Linked DNA regions of Daphnia pulex. The protein of the gene in region 3 purifies or fractionates together with the protein of the main gene of each other region. This does not show direct contact. Links are inferred from orthologs where the notes say so. Each region holds a gene or a part of one and is shown on either strand. Other genes may lie near its edges. The genes, in order: E3 ubiquitin-protein ligase UBR5-like, replication protein A 70 kDa DNA-binding subunit-like and zinc finger-containing ubiquitin peptidase 1-like.

The links.
Region 1: the proteins of zinc finger-containing ubiquitin peptidase 1-like (region 3) and E3 ubiquitin-protein ligase UBR5-like purify together in Homo sapiens (affinity purification with mass spectrometry, with the first as the bait; 3 studies listed by BioGRID). This does not show direct contact. The link is inferred for Daphnia pulex from reciprocal best matches to the Homo sapiens genes ZUP1 and UBR5.
Region 2: the proteins of zinc finger-containing ubiquitin peptidase 1-like (region 3) and replication protein A 70 kDa DNA-binding subunit-like purify together in Homo sapiens (affinity purification with western blotting; 4 studies listed by BioGRID, with this or other methods). This does not show direct contact. The link is inferred for Daphnia pulex from reciprocal best matches to the Homo sapiens genes ZUP1 and RPA1.

The regions. Positions count from the first base shown.
Region 1 is NC_060021.1:11,110,324-11,117,074, forward strand, and holds the start of E3 ubiquitin-protein ligase UBR5-like, read right to left. Parts: upstream 4,070-6,751; 5' UTR 3,932-4,069; coding exon 3,858-3,931; intron 3,718-3,857; coding exon 2,975-3,717; intron 2,893-2,974; coding exon 2,126-2,892; intron 2,059-2,125; coding exon 1,417-2,058; intron 1,347-1,416; coding exon 1-1,346. Other genes in the region: uncharacterized protein LOC124194704, read right to left, coding at 4,712-4,938, 5,000-5,149, 5,219-5,329, 5,392-5,473, 5,546-5,935, 6,008-6,409, 6,482-6,625. UniProt on the Homo sapiens protein: E3 ubiquitin-protein ligase involved in different protein quality control pathways in the cytoplasm and nucleus. Mainly acts as a ubiquitin chain elongator that extends pre-ubiquitinated substrates.
Region 2 is NC_060017.1:3,018,459-3,024,917, forward strand, and holds replication protein A 70 kDa DNA-binding subunit-like, read right to left. Parts: upstream 3,948-6,459; 5' UTR 3,824-3,947; coding exon 3,779-3,823; intron 3,717-3,778; coding exon 3,666-3,716; intron 3,602-3,665; coding exon 3,347-3,601; intron 3,277-3,346; coding exon 3,062-3,276; intron 3,000-3,061; coding exon 2,837-2,999; intron 2,775-2,836; coding exon 2,670-2,774; intron 2,604-2,669; coding exon 2,504-2,603; intron 2,420-2,503; coding exon 2,307-2,419; intron 2,240-2,306; coding exon 2,105-2,239; intron 2,045-2,104; coding exon 1,781-2,044; intron 1,723-1,780; coding exon 1,639-1,722; intron 1,577-1,638; coding exon 1,507-1,576; intron 1,439-1,506; coding exon 1,314-1,438; intron 1,250-1,313; coding exon 1,142-1,249; 3' UTR 962-1,141; downstream 1-961. Other genes in the region: ubiquitin-conjugating enzyme E2 L3, read left to right, coding at 1-17, 117-212, 284-412, 535-747; ankyrin repeat and MYND domain-containing protein 2-like, read left to right, coding at 4,252-4,434, 4,498-4,663, 4,732-4,871, 4,958-5,614. UniProt on the Homo sapiens protein: As part of the heterotrimeric replication protein A complex (RPA/RP-A), binds and stabilizes single-stranded DNA intermediates that form during DNA replication or upon DNA stress.
Region 3 is NC_060028.1:10,618,538-10,625,207, forward strand, and holds zinc finger-containing ubiquitin peptidase 1-like, read left to right. Parts: upstream 1-2,406; 5' UTR 2,407-2,486; intron 2,487-2,768; coding exon 2,769-2,936; intron 2,937-2,996; coding exon 2,997-3,137; intron 3,138-3,256; coding exon 3,257-3,371; intron 3,372-3,455; coding exon 3,456-3,713; intron 3,714-3,769; coding exon 3,770-3,881; intron 3,882-3,948; coding exon 3,949-4,120; intron 4,121-4,193; coding exon 4,194-4,285; intron 4,286-4,345; coding exon 4,346-4,476; intron 4,477-4,540; coding exon 4,541-4,776; intron 4,777-4,843; coding exon 4,844-4,879; 3' UTR 4,880-5,077; downstream 5,078-6,670. Other genes in the region: polycomb group protein Psc-like, read left to right, coding at 1-1,065; tyrosine-protein kinase JAK2-like, read left to right, coding at 5,685-6,404, 6,480-6,670. UniProt on the Homo sapiens protein: Deubiquitinase with endodeubiquitinase activity that specifically interacts with and cleaves 'Lys-63'-linked long polyubiquitin chains. Shows only weak activity against 'Lys-11' and 'Lys-48'-linked chains.

The DNA.
Region 1 (6,751 bases), on a different chromosome or scaffold from region 3:
TTAATGTGTTCGGCTCCGGTCCAAGTGAAGCTGCACGTGTCGTTGCTACAGAGAACATGGAGCGGTGAGTCATCCGGGCTGCAGCCATTCTTGCCCAATGGAAAAATGAAACTCTGCAACAGCTTTTTCTGAGCGTCCACTTCCGTTGTAATCTGTCGAAATAATCTAGTGGCCACATCTAGCAAAAGTAATGCTGCGGGGTAGGCACGAACGGCAACCGCTTGCATGAACGGTGTGTGACCTTGAGCGTCACGCGCGGAAAGGAGTGTCTGTAGATGAGGGGTCAGAGCTGGACTCTCGGTGATGGCCTTCAACGCGGCCAAGGAATTGGCACGTCGTTCAACAGGGTCGGAAACGGCAGCAGCCGCCATTTTGGAGGAGCCACATGCGCCGGCACTGCTCGAGCCAGCTTGATCGTCATCGCCGTGATTGGACGATTCCAAAGACATCGGTTCCGGTGGCCAATTGAGCGTCGGAATAGAAATGTTTTCTTCGACTACGGAACTACTACTGGGAACTCCCGAATCGGCTGTGGAACTTTCCGATGGTCGAGCAACAGCAGCACGCCTCATCATCTCTCTGAGACTTACAGCCCGGGAGGAAGTGCTCAAACCCACCGGAAGGGGATCTAGAGGATCAGCGATGGAGTTGGCGACGGGTGCTACATTTCGCTCGTCTTGAACGTCCGCATCTTTGTTTGAAGTTGGTGAGCACATGGATACGCAGGCGTGGATTACGTTTCGACCACCATCACAGCGTTCGTTGACGATACTCTGGACGCCGGAAAGGCGATAGGCTTCTGAAGACGTTTCTAAGCAGTTCATGACGTGGCGAACGCCATCGATATCGCAGGCCAGCAACTTGGGCATTAATAATTGATTTTCGGTGACGAGTACGAGTAATATGGCTTGAGTCTTCTGTCCAGGACCAACCCCTTGCAGAGAATGGGAACCGAAACCCAGGCAGCGCATTGGTGGCAAATCCAGCAAATGCGGATCACGAATAGAATCGAGACAGTCACGTGACAAAGGGTAGATTGTGCCATTTCCATCACGGAGCAGAGTCAAGGCGTCACCATCTCCTGTATTGAAGAGTCCAATGTTTCGTCCGACGTTGAGGCCCATGAACGAGGTATAGTCCGTTGGTATATTCGATTCATACTCGGCTTTTCCCGTGCTCAGATTGTAGATTGTGTACTTGAGCTGAGAGCCAACTTTGTTGACCGTGTGAATACCTTGTCCGTCTACTGAGAAGGCTAAAATCTGTCCGGGATCGGCCAACGTCACTCGTCGCGGGAGTCTTTGGAAACAATCAGGGATCCGGATGGATGAGCCCGATTTTACCACCTAAATAGAGAAAGAGTAACATTAGATTAGGGAAATTTCGTGGATTCAAATATTCACAATCGTCACTCACCTGCAATTCGTCTTTACGCAATAAACGGCAATCTTGTAGAAGCGAAGCAGGATCTTCGCTGCCGCTATTTGCCGGCACAACTAAATCTTTAGCTTCCTTGCCGCTGTAATCCTTGTTAGACGGAAAACGAACAGCAGCGTAGGCGCCGTCCACCTTGAGGACGCGGCCAATGGGCACATTCTTAACATCTTCGATGAAAATGACATCTTTTAACACCCATTCCTCTTCGTCGCCACGTTTGTCTTCGCTATCGCCGCGCGGAGCTGGTCTCTTGTGTTTCTTTTGTGAGCCTCCTGCTACGCTCCCCGTTTCGCTGCAAGTGCTGCTGGCTGGCGATGGAGGAGGAGGCATGTCAGGTTTTTCGACAACCGCCTCACGAGTGCTCGATGTTTTAGAGGTTTCGGCGTTGCTACTGCTGCTACTTCCACTTGCAGCATTGCCACGTTTGCTGTCACTACTACCTCCGGGTGGAAGAGGTGGAGCTAGGCGGACCAAGGGAGGGGGTCCTGGGACGATACGGAATCGACAAGTATCAGTCCAGCTCCATGCTGAACCTTGCAGCTGACCGACTTTCGGCACACCATCGATGATTGAGAATCCAATGGCTCCAGCTTGATACATGGGACTACTTCTCATACACACCTGAAGAATAAAATCAACCATAAGCTTTAAAAAATGATAACAAAGAAATAGCTATTTCGTTATTTACCTGTGCGCCAGTAACGATATCGGAACCGGAAGCTGAGCTGCTGTGGCTCTTCTTAGCTTTGGTTCGGTATTTGTCCCAAAGTTTACGGCGTTGGCCTGGTGGCAATACGCCCCACCAATAAATGGCTCCATTTTCTAGTCGAACAGCCGAGTAGAGTGAACAGGTGTCGAGTGAAACGATTTTTTCGCCGTGAAATTCAGAGGGGTGCTGGGCAGCATGTTCAAGTCTTGTGATACCGGGAACGTGAGCTACAGTTTCATCTAACCAGCTGGCTACTTTTCCCGATTCCGTTACCACAGTGCACCGTATGACGGATGCCGACAGCAGTACAATTTTTTCAGCATAGAGCCCCAGTGTAAGAGCTCGTGGGTGATGAGCGTGAGGGAAATCCAGGTGACGATAAGGCTCCGCGTCAGTCCATTTCCATGAGAGGATTTGACCAGATGTACTAAGTGCGATCAACTCAGAATACATTGCAGCAATGCTGGTGAAACGGGGAGACGGACCACTAGAGCCTCGTTCAGGCCAAAATTCAAGCTCGTCTGACAGACCTAGAGGGCTCTGTGTTTGATGTGGAGTGTCTTTCTTTTTGCTGCCATCCAGGTCACGTTCGTACCAAGTGTCTCGAAGCGCTGTTTCCAGCCAACGACGTGGTCCAAGATAATGTCGATCTCGCCAACGAAACATCCCAGATTCACGATCTGCTCCTCCTGTCCCTGCTCCACTACCACCACCTCCACCTCCTGTGAGACAGTTAATCAATTTTGCTACAATTATATTTCATAAGTTGTACCCGATTAAATAAAAAAAAAAAATGAAAAGCAGGATTGTTAATAAAAAGACAACTACCTCGATCACTGCTGCGTTCTCGTTCGCCTTCCACGCTTCTTCCACGATTATTTCCGGATGGGCGGCTGCGAATGGTTGAATAACCAAACATGTCTTCTGAGAACATGGCGTCAGCGTCAATAATGACGGAAGGCCCTGCATGGTCAGAGTGTAGCCCTGCACCAGGATCGAGCAGAGAAATCAAGTCTTCGGGAACGTATGAATCCTGAGAATCGTCAACGTCTTCACTCTCATCATCGTCACGTGAAAGCAAATTGTTGACAGCTTGATTGACATCCAAGTTGGTTCTCTGCAACTCGCGAATAATAACGCTTCTGCTTTTTCCTTGCAGGACAACTTGGGCTTGTGAAACTAGTTCTTCAGGGACAAAGACAGGTCTAGAGCTAGCCATGATGACACCATGTCCCACTGCCCCGGAAGCCAAAAGTCCTGTTCCCCTAGATCCACTGTTGCTTGCACCCCTGAGACTGGAAGCTCTGAGCAACCTGCCTCTTTTGCAAGTCTGGCGACTAGGACCTGGGCCAGATCCCTTGCCATCTTTCCCCCGGTTTGCTTCATTTTTGCTCAGATCTAAGCGATCCGGTAAAACATTGAAGGCAAGTCTGCACACCCTTCCATCCTCCAGCAGAAACACAATATGGGAAGGTCCCACTACACACTGCTGGACAGGGGAACGTAATGCACTGGTAAAACCAGAGTTGATGTGCCCAAAACGGTTGGTTTTATCAGCAAGTTCTTTAAGCCTGCAAAATCATAAGAAAATTTGCATTCAATATACTACATTCGTTAGAAATACGTTTTTCATTATCCCTGTACAAAAATGGGAATCGAAAAATGGTAGGTATTGGGAAATACGAAGGTGATGTGTTGGCAACAAACTTACCGATCCAATATCACTTCTTCTGTGGTGGGTAATGATTGCACGAGAAAATGAATATTTGATGATCCCGACATCATGAAGACAAAACTGATATGTAATTAAGAAACTCTCGAACAATTTTTCCTTTTTCTCATGGGTCTCTGTCTAGACCATCATGAGCAGGCTTAATAACGTCCAGCATGGAGTCTTCTCAATTCTCTCAATTTTTCTCTCTTGGAAACAGCGTTGCCACTTTGAATCCTTTGCTCGCGATTCGCTCGTGTTTTGTTCGAAATTTTCATTGTTCACAAAAATGCTCGAATTTCGAAATAATGTTAACAAAACGTTTTGTGTTCGATTATGTAACGTTTTAATTTCGTAAATTGCAAAATCTTTTGACTAGTGAAACCATGAAACCTTTAATTCTTCAAATAAGAACAAAATGCTATGTTATCAATTCGACTTTTAAGTTTTCTATTCCTTTTTTCTAACTCATACTTCAAGGTAGTGCACTACAAGAACCCATATAATATTGCTAAGGTTTTGGCAATCGCAATTTAAAATTACGTCATAATGCAATAAATAAATTGCAACATAATCATATTATTACACCACCTACGTCTAGTTTTCCTACTGATGGGTTGGTATGGTAACGCCACATAGTGGCAATTTTTGAATAACGAATTCAAAATTTGGTAGCTCCAGTTGGATAAATGTAAAAAACAACAAAATATAACTTGGAATATATGTATTAGAATAGATGTTAAATGATTTAGCAAACGAACTTGATTTTTAATATGGGAACGTGTAAGAAGAAATAAATTGGGGATTCAATCGATATGGTGATATTCCATGGATATGGGCTATTAGGCATTTTTTTATAATATACTTATACATTCAATATCAATAGATTCATTTAGTTTGTCTTCATGCAATGATTTTTCTGCCATGTACGACGAAATCAAATCAGAAATCAAATATGCGACAAGTTTGCTTCCCCCTTGAAAACCTGATTCGCCGGAGGATGGAGCAACGATCGATGGATCGATAACCCATGACAAGAGGCCCTCTTCACACAGCACCTCAAAGATTTCTTGCATCAAACCTAGAGAAATCGTTCAAAATTAAATTAATATTGAATTCCGTTATCCATCGCTAGTGACCACCTTTGGGATGTTGTAGCTTAGCGACCAAAGTTTGTACAACAAATATCAGTTGCATTCCGCTGCTATCACTCTCGTCAATGTACCGTTTTAATATTGAAGATGTCCAACGTTTCAAAATTGCATGGTTCAGTTTGCAATCTCCACTTTTATCTAGTTTAAAAAATATATAGATATTTAGACACATTACGTAAACTATTAACATAAAATTGGGAAATTTACCTTCAATCGAATTATTTATAGCAGCAGTGGCCAATGCAAAAATCAAAGCAGAATAAAGCTCGTGTAAATCTCTATAAGGAGTTTTGCTCAAATCAACTTGTACTTCTATCCCTGCACATCAAATTTAAAAAGTGGTCCGTGAATTGTAATGTTCCGCAACAGCAAAAGCTTACCTTCTTTACTTTCATGCAGGGCTGCAGTGAAAAGATCCCGATTTGATAACAATTCGAGAGAAACCTTGTAGACATATTGTTGCTAATGAATAGGGAAAAAACGAAATAGGTTTAACTTGATAACTCAAGGTAGCGCAAAAGAAAAACAAAATACTTCTATCCAAATGAAGACAATTTCGTCCGATAATAAATGTCGATTAACAAACGCCAAATACTCCTGCATTTTGTACTGAAAATCTTGAGGTTCGCCACGGATGGGCAATCGTTTCTCCCATAAACCTTCCAATTTAAACACAGTTTGGAAGTGAATATCGCACTCGGATTTTCGGACGTTAGCCATGGCCAGTGTTTCGTTGTTTTCGAGTTGCTTCATAATGTCATCCTCGGCTCTGTGGATTGATTTCGTCAATTTCGCCAGGGAAGACTTGATATCCCTTTTGAGATGACGAGAAATCCACTCTTTTTCTCGATTCTCCATTTCAATCATTCTAGATTCAAGCTCGATCAACAAATTGGCATAGTCTTTCTTGTCCATTTGATGTTTCTAAATCAACAATAAAAAAATAAATAAATTATTTCAAACTCAAATGAGTCTCATCTGTATAGCGCGATCTACCTGAAACCAACTGCAAACTGTTTCTGTGGCCGCTGTCAATTGATTTCTGGCGGGGGCTGGGCTATTCAAAAGCATTCTCAATTCCGAAAGAAAAGTGTCGATTTTGGAACCAAAAGGTGACTGTCCAATTTGAGTTGAGGTGGAAAATTCCTTCCTAAGATGTCCCATCATCTCCGTTTCCACATCCTGCGCACATTCCGCCAACACAACTAAGGAAGCTTGAATATCGTTTTTGAGTTCGACAGACTGAACCACGCTGTCCTTCTCGCGAGCCTCGATATCAGCAAGTTTCATGTCTAATTCGATCAAGGATTCGACGTAATTATTGTTTGGCAAATCTTCAGAAAAGGAATGAATCTTCCTGCAGATTGGACACTTGATTTCGGTATTTTGTTTAATTTCCTGTATGTTACGCAATATACAATAAACGTTAATTTTAGAAAATTACCAAATTATTGCTATGTTTATACTAACCGTGAGACATGATCGGCAGAACGTGTGGGCGCAAGGTAGAAACTTGGGTTCTCGATTTTCGCCATATTCCTTCAAACACATGCCGCACGTAATCAAAAAATTCGATTCAAACGATTCGCTGATGGACGACGAGTGTGACGACATTTTCTCCACGTGTCAATGTAACGATCGCAAGCCCCTGGAAGTCTATAGTCGTCGCTTTCGGATGGGTTTTCACACACACTGCAACAAAATAATAATCAAGTTAAGGATTGCACGACTGCTGATTTG
Region 2 (6,459 bases), on a different chromosome or scaffold from region 3:
CTAGAAGACTTCACAAGGTGAGTTGAAAGTTATCTATATTGCATCACAAATTCATAATCTGTAGTGATAATAATTCATCTGTATAAACATTTAATGTATTCTCTGTGTGGTCAAAGGAATTGGAAGACATCAAGAAGTCTGGGTTGAAATCTTTTCGCGACATTCAAGTTGATGAACAAAACATTTTGACTTGGCATGGACTTATTGTTCCTGTGAGTCTGAATTTTTTAGATGAATATTGATTGAATTACCTTGGTTACAAGCCATCATATATTTTTCATAGGAAAATGCTCCCTACAATAAAGGAGCTTTTCGGATTGAAATAAATTTCCCTGCTGAGTATCCATTCAAACCACCAAAAATTGCGTTCAAGACAAAAATCTATCATCCAAATATTGATGAAAAGGGACAGGTAAAAATTTCAATGTTAACCTTGTAAATATCTTATTTGTCTGGCAATTTCTGTTAGGTCTTAAAAACATTTGCCTTTTGGAATTTTTGCCATACTTATTATTGTGTGTTTATTTCTTTCAGGTCTGTTTGCCCATAATAAGTGCTGAAAACTGGAAGCCTGCCACCAAAACTGATCAAGTGATACAAGCGCTGGTTGCCTTGGTTAATGATCCAGAGCCTGAACATCCACTTAGGGCTGATCTTGCTGAAGAGTATTCCAAAGACAAAAAGAAATTCATGAAGAATGCAGAAGAGTTTACAAAAAAAAACAGTGAGAAGAGACCAAGTGATTAAATGTTTTCTGTTTTCATCATAAACACTTGAGAAGAGGCAGAGTTAAAATTTTGAACTGGTCCCCCCTCTTTCCCTCTTCACTTCATTGTAGAGCAGTGAGAGCTGCACTGTGATCTTCATTTATTTTCATTTCTATCTTTGCCTCTCTTGATGGTTGAAATATTTCATTGCACATGAGCTGCGAAAAACAATACATTTGCAGTTGTCTGAAAAATTATTTTTTGTAATATCCATGTTTATTTTGCAAATCATTTATTATCATGTTACACACACGGTTTTTCCGGGATCTCGATTTGATTCACAAGAACAGGAATTCATAAAGAATTGTTCCTGTATAATCCGAAAATGAAGGTTTTTTATAAGTTTAATAGATAAGGAGCAAGGGAAAATCCATTCATTCTGATGCAGCCATTTCTTTCATTTCTCGAATCAATCGCTCGTTGTGCTCTTTATAGTTGATTTCCTTCACTTCATAGACATTTGTTTTGAGGCGGCTTTCATCCTAAAGAAAAGGTAAAAGCGTCAACAGATAACAAGATCGAAATTCATAATGCTCATAGACTTACATTGTACGTCTCCATTTTCACTCTCAGGCGGAAGACATACCACTTAAAAGTAGCTTCTTCGAAAATTTTCTGAAATTCGTTATTATCCGAATCCTTCAATCTACCGACCTCGTCTGCGGATTTCCCTAAAATTTATAATCAAATAAATAAATATTATATGCTAAACGTAACATTAGTTCGAAAACAAAATTACCAAGAAGAGTTTCAGCGGTTTCTTGGAAGCAGGTTACCCATTGCTGGTCCGTGGCATCCGCGATATTGACCTATAACAAATTTCGAGTGCTGTTTTGAGAGAAATAGATTTCATAAAATATCTTTGTCATACCGAAAGCATCATGCGCCATTTGAATTCCTGGAATTCGCGCTGGCATTTCTCACATCGATAGAGGCCATTGTTTTGATCGATGACCTGCGGGAAACGCAAATATTGTCAAAAATGAGTTGTTTTATTATATATTTATGTTTACCTTTTTGTTGCATTCATCACTGGGACAAGCCATGTACAACGCTCTTTCTTTGTTGATCATAGCAACCATAGCCTTAACACTGTAGAAATCAGGTTTATCTTTTCCCAGGTTTTCGAATTTTGCTTCAGCGAAAGTCTTATACGACCCACCACTACCACCAGTGCCAGCGCCACGACTCGCCGAAATGCTAGAAGCGGCCGATGATGAGCCACCGTTATCGTACCACCCTCTTAGTTTGTGAGCTTCATTCATGTCAGGATTGATCTATTAAAAATATGCGCTGTAGAATAGTAGAGAAATAGAAAGTCTTACATTTGATTTTACCTGCACGACAGTAGACGAGACTGTTCCTAGAGAACGACCTCCAAAATCAGAAAGTTTCACTCCTTTTAATGCTACAACAGGCTGGGAGCTAGCGTCAAATTCCTCGCCCATTTTTCCCCATAAAGTCAAATTAACCTGATGTTTGAAGACAAGAATGATTAATTAACTGGGCTCGACAATTAAACGAAGAATCCAGTCATACCTCTGTGTTGGTACTGTCCACCATCTGAACTTCTCGCATCCTCAATTCTTTATTTGTCGTTTTGGAAACGATAACGCGGACGTCATTTGCTGACTTAACCACACCAATGACATCTGAAAGCACGGTCAATCGGTCATATCGTAGGCACCATTCAAATAGAAGAATTGTAATGTTAATGCACCTAAAAGACAACTTACCAATAACACTGTCCTTGTCCAGGCTAGGTAGCTGATCAATGGGAACAAAGTTGAAGGAGATTGATGGGATATCTGATGTATCATCGTGGCAAGGAATTACCTAAAAAATAAGTAAAAGAAAAAAAAATTGAGGCTGGTACGATTGACGATTGAAAAACATTCATACTGTAGTATTTTGGTTGAACGACATTTCATAATCGTTCCTCATACTGCTGTACTGTTTGTTTGCTGCCTTCAGTTGTGCTTGTGAAATGTAAAAGATCTTGCCGATCTACAACGAAAAATAACAATGTAAATAAATAACTTCAAACACTGTTTTTGAATTAAATGTACCTCAATCATGTGGTAAAACTTGTCACACTCGGCATTGAATGCAGTGGCACGGATTTCACCAGTCTCATCCACCATGTCCATCGAGAAAAGCTTTCCTTCACCTCGAGAATTGCTCCACGTACGGATATCGGACTTGTTTATAATTCTCACTTTTACAGTCCACCTACAAACAAGCAAAGTTAATGATTCAATTTTTCTTGTACTGAAATTTCTCAACAAACATACTTGTTTTGGTAGGGTGTAAGGCTTACAATCGGATGGGTAATAATGTCAGACTTCTCTGTTGGCTGTCCATATCCACCAGTTTTGTTAGGTGGTGCAGACTTCGATCCCATATTGTAATTGTTCACATTTCCTAAAGGTGCAGGTTTTGCTGCTGCCTCTTCAGTAACCTCTCCAACATCATTAAGAGTCTGAGGGTTTCCTATTTTTTCTCCAACCTAAACAAAAAATGTTCAAAATGAAGAGATATCCTTATTTGTATTTCGAAACTAAGTAAAGTGAACATACTTCACTTCCAGGCACAATTGGCTCAACATCCAAAAGAATGATAATTTTCTTTTGGTCCTTGCCTGCAGTTGCCTTAGTAGCAACTTTGTTAACAACAAACTTTTTTACTCTAATGATGGTAAAGTTCTCAAGCTGACCATCCACAATCAGATGATTTAGTTGTGTTGCCAACATTCCATATGCATAGGAATACTTTCCATCAGAGATGAGAATTCTGTAACGGTCATTATTGTCTCCCTGAAGATTTTTGTAACCCTATTGTAAGAGAAGAAAATGTAAAAATGCTGCAAATGAAGAAAAAATCTTGCTCGTTGCTTACCAAAACTTGTAGAATTGGAGTTTCATTGTGCAGGCCATTCCCAATGATGGACTATGTCGAAATAAAGATATTTATAGTTTTATTCAAAAATTCGAAATTATGATTGATATTACCGGAATTGCGCCGCTGGTTAGTGCTGGGTGATTTCTTCTGTTCATTTTACGGAACCTTTTTTAACGGGGATTACTTCGTTCAGTCAACGTGCTTGAATTTTTTTAAGCAGTTTTTACGGACAAGACGACGAAGTGCGATGGCGGGAAAACAACAGTGGTACAAACGAAACCAAGGCTGAACGTGCAGCGTTGAATGTTTAAGAAACTTTTTAACTCAATGAAGACCACTAAAAATATAAAGAAGAAAAATAATGAAAAAGTTTTTTTTCTGAAATAAAGGTTCATACGAAGCAAAAATAAGTTTTCGTTTTATTCGCATTTTTGGCGTTGTTGGATTTTTTGTTTTTCGAAATGTCCGGTTGTTATAGCAACAGTTGCAGACGACAACGGAAACTATATCGTTATATGAAAATTTGTGACTGAATTATTTGATTTCCTTCAAAAACGAGTTAATTGCCAAAGAATCTCGAAAAATGATTTCGGAAAACTTTATTAAAGCTATTGACAAGATTAACAACAATGATACTAGTGGTTTGCAAGAACTTATAAAATCCCGGGACGTTGAAATTGACGATGAGGATGAGCATGGAATGACATTACTGCAACATGCCGCTTTTAAAGGGAAAAAAGATATTTGCCAGTTGCTCCTTGACCTGGTAAGTCTAACTATATTATCAATGTTGTTAATTTGATTGAAAAGTTGACTTTTTTTCTCGAAGGGAGCTGATGCCAATGGAGGTCATCATGAACACAAGTATACTTCCCTTCATTTTGCAGCTCTGTCTGGAAATTTGGATATTTGTCAACAATTACTTCAGTGTGGTTGTAAACCTGATGTGGTTAACTCAGTAGGCAGAACTGCAGCTCAAATGGCTGCATTTGTAGGTAGGCTAGTCAATCATAATGTTTGTACAAATCATCCAAAACTAAAATGAATTATTTTGGCAAACCAGGGAATCACACAGTTGTTTCCATCATCAACAATTTCATTCCACGCTCAGAAATAGAGCAGTACACTGTAGCTCCTAGCGATCAAACTGAGCCAAAATTGCCACCAGCTGCTGCACCAGCTTTGCACAAATTTGTGATGCAGGTTGTGCACTTGAATAGACACATCACTTCATTTCTTATTCTGCCACGGAAAAGCACTTGAACTTTTTGTTTTGTTTGATTTATCAGGTCAATCTGCATCCAGTTCACCTTTTGTTGACTATTCAAAAACTTCCTTTGCTTTACGATAACCTCACAAAAGTGAAAAACGTCTTGGAGATACTTAGCGAAAATCAGATGAAGCGCAGCCAAGAAGTCAACGAGATCCTCGCACTTAAATACCACTATTTGCGTTTCCTAGTCGAAAGAATGGCCAAAGAGCAGCAGCAGCACCCCGACAAAACCGTTTTGGAGTTATTAAATCAATATGTTAAAGCATTTTTGAAGCAACGTCAATCCGATGGTTTTCCCGAGTTTATGGACAACTTCATCCGCGAGTCGATCCGCACTTTCCCTTTCAAGGAGACGACCATCTTCCGCCAGTTGCTGGTCAATCTGTCCAAGACAAAAGAGGAGACTCCACTAGCTCTCAATCTTCTCACTTCCTGCATCAACGGTCAGCGTGGATTTCAAGATGACGACGCCTGTGCCACTTGCGGCCAAGAGAAGGTAGCCAGCAAGTGTTCCATATGCAAATCTGTGCAATATTGCAACCGCGATTGTCAAAAGTTGCACTGGTCTATCCACAAAAAGGAGTGCGACAAGTTGGCCAAGCAATTTAAAAATTTGGAAATTAAATCTCAAGACTCCGAGGCGAAGGCTGCCGATCCGGAAACCAGCAAATAGAAATTTTGATTATGTGGGGGTTTTTGCATGATCGAATTCGATGTATGTTCACCCCGTACGTTTCCTTTTTAATCTACAATTGTCTACAGCGGACCCCTGTTTGCTTCCATATTTAGCTAACCTATTCAGTTGTCCAGTCTTTTACACTGTACGTGCGGTCCCATTGTTTTTATATCGTGAAAAATCTGCTTTGAATGGCCCCCATGTTATCGTCGCATTCATCCCACACAAATACAAACCTTGTCATGCCTCATTTCTAGTGTATTTCTTTTCTTAGACTAAAAAACCAGCCACTAGATGGACATTGTTCTCTTGTGGCCCTCCTCATCCACATATTGCTACACTAAATCTTCAAATGTCTACCCTTCACTAAGAAATATTTCCCTCTCACCTCAAAACAAGGAAATACAAATTACGCGAAACCAATCGCTGGTTTTTAATCGACGAATGATAATTGAAAACTTGTTGTAAGAATTTATCGTATAGTTTAAAGAAGACAATAAGTGAGCCAGGCTGCAATGAATGTAATCTCTTTTTGATAAAACCAACCAAAAGATAAAACTAGCAGCAGGTTTTTATTTCCCCGAATTAAGTGTCGTTGGTTTTGCGCGAATCGGTTTCAAAAAATGCCCGAAAAAAATGGAACTCGAGAGCCAGTTGGTTGGACGTGTACAGTTGATGACGGAAGCGGCGGCACCGATCCAGAAGAAAACACACACACACATGTGTCACTTTTCTTTCATTCCGATAAGCTTCAATGCCTCTGTCCAGGGGTTATTTGCCCTCTTTTAAACATGTGTGGCGACGACGATCTAAATAGATATGTGACTGCTATATACCACCGA
Region 3 (6,670 bases):
GAATCTGACGTGATTCATCCGGTACATCACCGGTCATCCAAGAAATCTAATTTGGATTCGTCAATTCCCGTCGAGTCGAGTCCTTCCAGCAAGAAACGCGGACGGAAGAAGAAGCGTCGAAAGCGCAAGACGATGGAATTGGTTCCGATCATAGAGCCTCTGCATCCTCTCAAAGTCAAAATTGTCGAGAGGATCAAATCGCCGGAATACTCTACTTGGTCGCGACCCAATGGTGTCGAGCTACTTGTTCAAGCCGCTGAATTGGCTTCTCGTCAAAATCCTACTCCACCCCCGGAAGGGGATAAACTGGAAGTTCCTAATGCAACCAAATGTCCACCACCACCTCCATTGCTTCCTATATCCGATCCCATCACCAGCAGCAACAGCGATTCCGTCAACAACAACAGCAAACCTACCGCCCCGGAAATTCCCAAAGTAATTGAACAAGATTCGCCACAGTTGACGGTGGTGGTGGCTGAAGATGACGTTGAAGACGAAGGCAAGTTGATTATTGTCGACGAAGTGAATTTGAACGGCAGTAACAGCAACGGAAGAGATTCCGGGATGGATAACGACGAAGAAGAAGAGGAAGATGACTCGGCTGGCGCCCTGGATCTGTCCTCAAAATCAACTCGAACTTGTCCTCCGGAAGAGTCTAACAACAAATCACCGAGAGAGCCGAGCCCAAAACCTCCGGCATCTCCGCAATTCGTCCAGCAGCGATCCACCGCACTTCATTCAATCACGGACAGTTTAGCTCAGAGACAGCATCAAAGACTCATCCAGCAGCAGCAACATCACCATCGCCATCATCATCACCGTCGTCTACCTACCCCGATACATCATCCGGAAGCGATGAGAAATTTGGTCACGTTGTCGCAAACTGCGTCATTGGTTCCGCCGCATCCTCAGCAAGTGGCCACTCAGCGTCTCATCGTGGCGTCGTACATGCATCAGTTTGCAGCTGCTGCAGCCGCCAGAGCTGCTTCCGCACCTCTGCGTCCTCCTAAACCCCCTCAGCCAAGTTTATCCATGTCTAACGGGTTGTTACGACGTCCGTTTTGAAATTCTGATATTCGCTTTTTCTTTGTTTCTTGGCACCGCCGCCCTTTCGTATTCATAAAACTAATTTGCGTGTTTGCCTATTAATTCGGAAAATGTACATGAAACCTTAAGATTTCATCACTTTTTCTGTAAGAGTGTATTGTTAGGTTTAACTCTTTAATTTATCAATCCGCTGTATAAATTGCTGTAGAGAAATATGATTCAAGTGTGATTATATTAATTTTTTTGCTTCGGAGGTTGTTGTTGTCTCGCTATGACGTAACGTTTCCACGTTTTACTCTCTAAAGTGTGTTTTTGTTTTGGCTCTGTTTTTCTGTTCCTTTTTAAGTGTTGTTTTTATACGGAAGACATGCTAATACCAAAAAATGTTGCGAAATAAATGGTTATGACGTCACCACTTTTTACTATTGTGCGCGTTCTCATCGATCATTATGACACAGTGCGTTGCCATTGGTTAGGGGGTGGAGTCAGGGGCCCCTTCCTGTGGGTGGGGTCGAAAGGAGAGACCCAATCGGGCGAAATGGGGTCGACAGACTAGAGGTTGCATTGCTTCTCGTTGAAAGTTCTCTTTCTCTGAATTACTTTTCAAAAGTGAATTAACTTTTCGTGAAATTATTAGACTTGGAATTGAGTATTCCAGTGCTTTCAAGTGGCCGCATTTGTCCTATTTAGTATTTACTTTGTCTAGCAGACACTCTATAAATTGAACAGGATTGAAGGTTTAAAAGATGGATTATTAGTACTAGGGCGAAGAATACAATCAAGATATTTTGGGACGTTTAATTCGATTTTCCCCTGCAAGTCCCCAATATGAATTTCAATTTAGATCATCCTTGCGTCCCACGGATGCATCTGACGTCCGTCGCACAGTGCGGGTAATTGAATGGACTATTATAGGAAGAGTTTTTTATGGTCAAAAAGGGAGAGGGGGGAAAGCATTATTTGAACTCTTATATATTATGAGTGGTATTGAGGAGTGGCGCGCGTACCGAGAGGGGGTTTCTATGGTAACCGGACCACTCAAGTACGTTGTTTTTTTCAAGTTGGGGGTAGTTGGAATGTTGTTCAAAGAACGCGCTCCTTTTTATTCCACTAAAAGCTCATTACCTGCCATCTAGCGGCGATTACAAAATGTTCTCAAGGACTTATCATTCATTACATAAGAATTTCAGTAAACTTGAATAAACGGAAGAAATTATAACTGACTCTACTTGCACTTAATTAAAAAGAATTTTTAAAAATTTCATTGATTGAGAATTTTACAAATTTTTTCTTCTGCTTGGACTTTCACAACGCTGTTGCAGATGCAGACGATGTTGAGTGTTTCCCAGTTTGTTTACAATTTTGATCTGGTGACTGGTGTGAAAGTAGCGGGAGCTAATTTGTTACATATATAGCTAATTAAGACCATTCTATTAAAAATGAGCTCCGATGAATCATTCATTACATAAGAATTTCAGTAAACTTGAATAAACGGAAGAAATTATAACTGACTCTACTTGCACTTAATTAAAAAGAATTTTTAAAAATTTCATTGATTGAGAATTTTACAAATTTTTTCTTCTGCTTGGACTTTCACAACGCTGTTGCAGACGATGTTGAGTGTTTCCCAGTTTGTTTACAATTTTGATCTGGTGACTGGTGTGAAAGTAGCGGGAGCTAATTTGTTACATATATAGCTAATTAAGACCATTCTATTAAAAATGAGCTCCGATGAAGATTGTATTATAATATCTAGTCGCAGTTCTGCAACCACTTCTGACCAAAACAAAATTATTTCCAGTAGTTTACAAAAATTCACTTGTCCTATGTGCTCTCAAACTAGTGAAGAACTCAGTGAAATTGAAGCTCATATCGAGAATGAACACCTGGTAAATTAACACTGAAGTTACAAAATTTTAGTATAGTAATTCAGAATCATTTTGCTCTAGGGGCATGAAGGACAAAGCTCGGGAGATCAAATAAACTCCTTTCGGATGGATCATGCTTGTCCACTGTGCAGTGAAATATTTAAAGATTCTTCTCTACTTGAATCTCACTTTCATGTAGAACATGACATGTTTATTAATGATGTAAATATTTCATATCCTTTATTATCCATGCTCCTAGATAAATCCTGCGTATGAAATCTCTTGTAACAACTGAAGATTAAAACTGTAACAATTATACCAATTTCCTTTTCACTTTTCAGGCTGCAGCTGCTAGATTCTCTTGTCCCGTCTGTTTATCAAATGAGTTCTCCTCTGAAGAAGTACTTGCACAGCATGTCAATCAGCACTTTTCAAATGAATGTGTTCCACCACTTGGTATATATCCAATTTGAAATTATTCTTATTTCTTTGCTTTAATCTATTACACTGTGTTTCCCTTTTCTAAACGATATCCTTCAGACGACGATGGACAGCTTGCACGAAAATTAGAGGAGCAAGAACGAGAATTGATGCAAAAGAAGGAACGCGAGGATTTCAAGCGACTTCAATCTCTTCACGGCTTTGATCAAGGGAGAAATATGAATCGACAAAGTGATGCAACTCTGTTACAATCTGTTAAAAGAGGAAATATGTCCGCGGTTGATTATCACGAGAAGCGCATTATGCTTAAAATGTCTGAGAAGATTGGTGTTGACGATGGTTCATCAGCTACTCGAGGTGCAGCGCAAGCAAAAATGATTATCTCTGACATTTTCAACTTTTTCTGTAAACAGATATAACATCTCACATAAGAAGATTTGCTACAACGCAGAACATTCACATGTGTAGCGATATTGACCACTATGCAGCTTCATTTGGAGATTCTGGCTGGGGCTGTGGATATCGGTAATTCTATCAGTTTATTAATTACAGTGGCACAGTTAATTCTACATTTGTTTAATTAATTGCATAGGAACCTTCAAATGCTACTCAGTGCCCTTCTTCGCCATCCGCAATGCGCCGAACGATTGACAACGTTATGTCCTTCGACGTCATCGACTTTAGGCAATTCAATTCAAGTCCCATCCATCACTCGACTTCAATCTGCGATAGAAGAAGCCTGGAAGTTGGGATTTGACCAACAAGTAAGAATGCAAGAGCACTTTATTTACTTATGCAACCCTTTAATTTCAACATTTTTACATTGTTGTAATAAAGGGGTGTCAACAACTCGGTGGCAAGCTCTATGGTACATGTAAATGGATTGGCGCAACAGAAATTGCAACACTTTTGGCTTCTTGTCATATTCGGTAAGCTGTAAATATTTCTTTTTGATAAAACAGATCATTAATGACAATGTTTTTATCAAGTTACCGTTTAATAGATTTTCATCGACCTACTTCTGATGACGGTAAACAACATCCGGCCTTATTCGATTGGGTGAAACAGTACTTTCAAGAACCGTCAGAATTTAAACCACCGCTTTACTTCCAACACCAAGGTATGGACAATAATTTTTAGTTATGTTGGCTTGTCTGATTTGTGTGTGATGCGTAAATTTTCAGGACACAGCCGCACGATTATTGGCATTGACGAAGGGAAACAGGGAAAACTGCGTTTACTTATTCTTGATCCAAGTCATAAAAGCGATCAAATGCGTCAGTTGACAAACACTTCTGATTCGACTAAATCTAACGCTACTGCAAAGAAAATATGGGTTCCTATGACCTCTCTAAAATCCAGGCAATATCAAATTGTTTGTGTGAACGGTGGCTTCGTTGACAGCGATCGAGAGTTCATAGTAAGTTGTTAATGTTTTATGAATTTATTATGTAAACGATTCCTGACCTTTTGTTTCATTTCTACAGCAAAGTAAATTGATCCGTTCCACTCGTATTCCTTAATGTTTTGAGAAAATTGATTTAGAAAATTAAGGTACGCAATTTATTGTTACATCTATGTGCCTACAAAATTCTTCCTCTATGCACTTGTACCGTACCGCATTCATATAAAATATTTTGTCCAAAATTGAGTTTCATCGTCTTGTCACATTTTGCAACGAAGTTTTGTTAATATTAAATTATTACATGGAGTAGTAAATAGCACTTGTATTTCCTTATTTATAAAAAGTAACGTCACACGGCACTTGTTCAATAAGATTAGAATCTATTGCTGTAAATTGACTGCTAATGGAGTTAATCGGCCTGTGTAAATGTGGGTATACATACTATCTCAAGACACCGAAACACATGAACATAAAGAATTCTAGAAACTGAGTAAACTTTATGAAGAGATGGAGAAAGTGTTAATTTAAAAATTCAAAGAAAGCGCGGGATGAAAAAACAGACCATGCTGCCATCTAGCGGCCTTTGTTGTGATTCAAAAAGAAGATGTGAAATTCGTTTTATAAATGAATAACAATAACAAATAATAAGTAATCTGGTAAGATATAATCTTTTTTTGCTTAAATCTCTGCTAATAAAATATAATAATAATTAATTACTACATTTTCACAATTCATTTAAATAGGACGGCAACGTATTTTGTGTGCCTATATTCCCATTTCCCATCCTCCTACGTGACTGGAACAACAAAAACAGGTTTGACGTTTTGATTTTGATACCTTGCCCTTAGGCAGCTGTCACTTGATGCATAAATGTGAGAGTTCAACCGGTTTTATCTTCAGTGAGTAAGCTCAGAGAGGATGACATGAGAATGTCGATTGTCGTAAAAATTATCGGTTCCAGCCCTGGTATTATTCCAATTGATGACGGATTGTCCTTTGAAGACGTTTGTATACAATGTTGTCGCGATTTGGGAATTTGCCCTACTTCTCGGAACCTTTTTGCGCTCAGGAACGAGACTTCAAAACTCTACGTCAATCCTTCAGATCTCCTGAAAGATGGGGATGATTCTTATGAGTTGAGGCTACGCTTTTGGCCCTCCCTTGTTAATTTATCTAAAATTGGGACAAAAGCACTAAACTACTTCTATCAACAAGTTCACGAGGAGTTTGTGGAGGGAAAGATTACAGCATTCAACAACAAAACAAACCAAAGTGTGGCATTGGGTTTAGCTGTAACCGCTATGTATTGCCATATGAAGGATTACGGTGTCAAAATGAGTGATGTCCTAACAAATTACAAAAAGTTTGTTCCTAAAATGGTCAGACGTAATTCAAATCTCAAGTACAGCACAGAATCCTTGAAGACCCGCTTGAATCAAGTAGTTCAGAATCCACCTGGTGAAACGTGGTTCTTCAAACAAGCGTTCCTGAAAACAATAGCTCAAACTGCTACTGACTATTCAGTTGAAAAATATCCTGTCAAAGTGGAAGAGGGGGAAGAACTAGTTGAATTTGATCTGATTATTCAGCCCATGAGTAGTGAACATCCAGGAGTCAAGATGCAGTCAGTCAAAAAGAAAATTGTAAGTTATTATTGTTATTTTATATATTGAGTTGAAAATGTTCCAAGCTAACAATAAACACAATTTTTTTTATAGCTAAGTCAGTATGTGTGTTCAATCGAAGAAGTATGCTTCGTTTCCATCAGGAAAAGTGACAACCGTATGGAAATATCGCGAATCAACGGTGTACCTCAGTACTTTCTCATGGAAAGTGAAGAGTCTATGAAAAGTTGTGTCGGTGTCCTAAATGGTTATTATCGACTTATGGAAAAATGGACATTTGATTT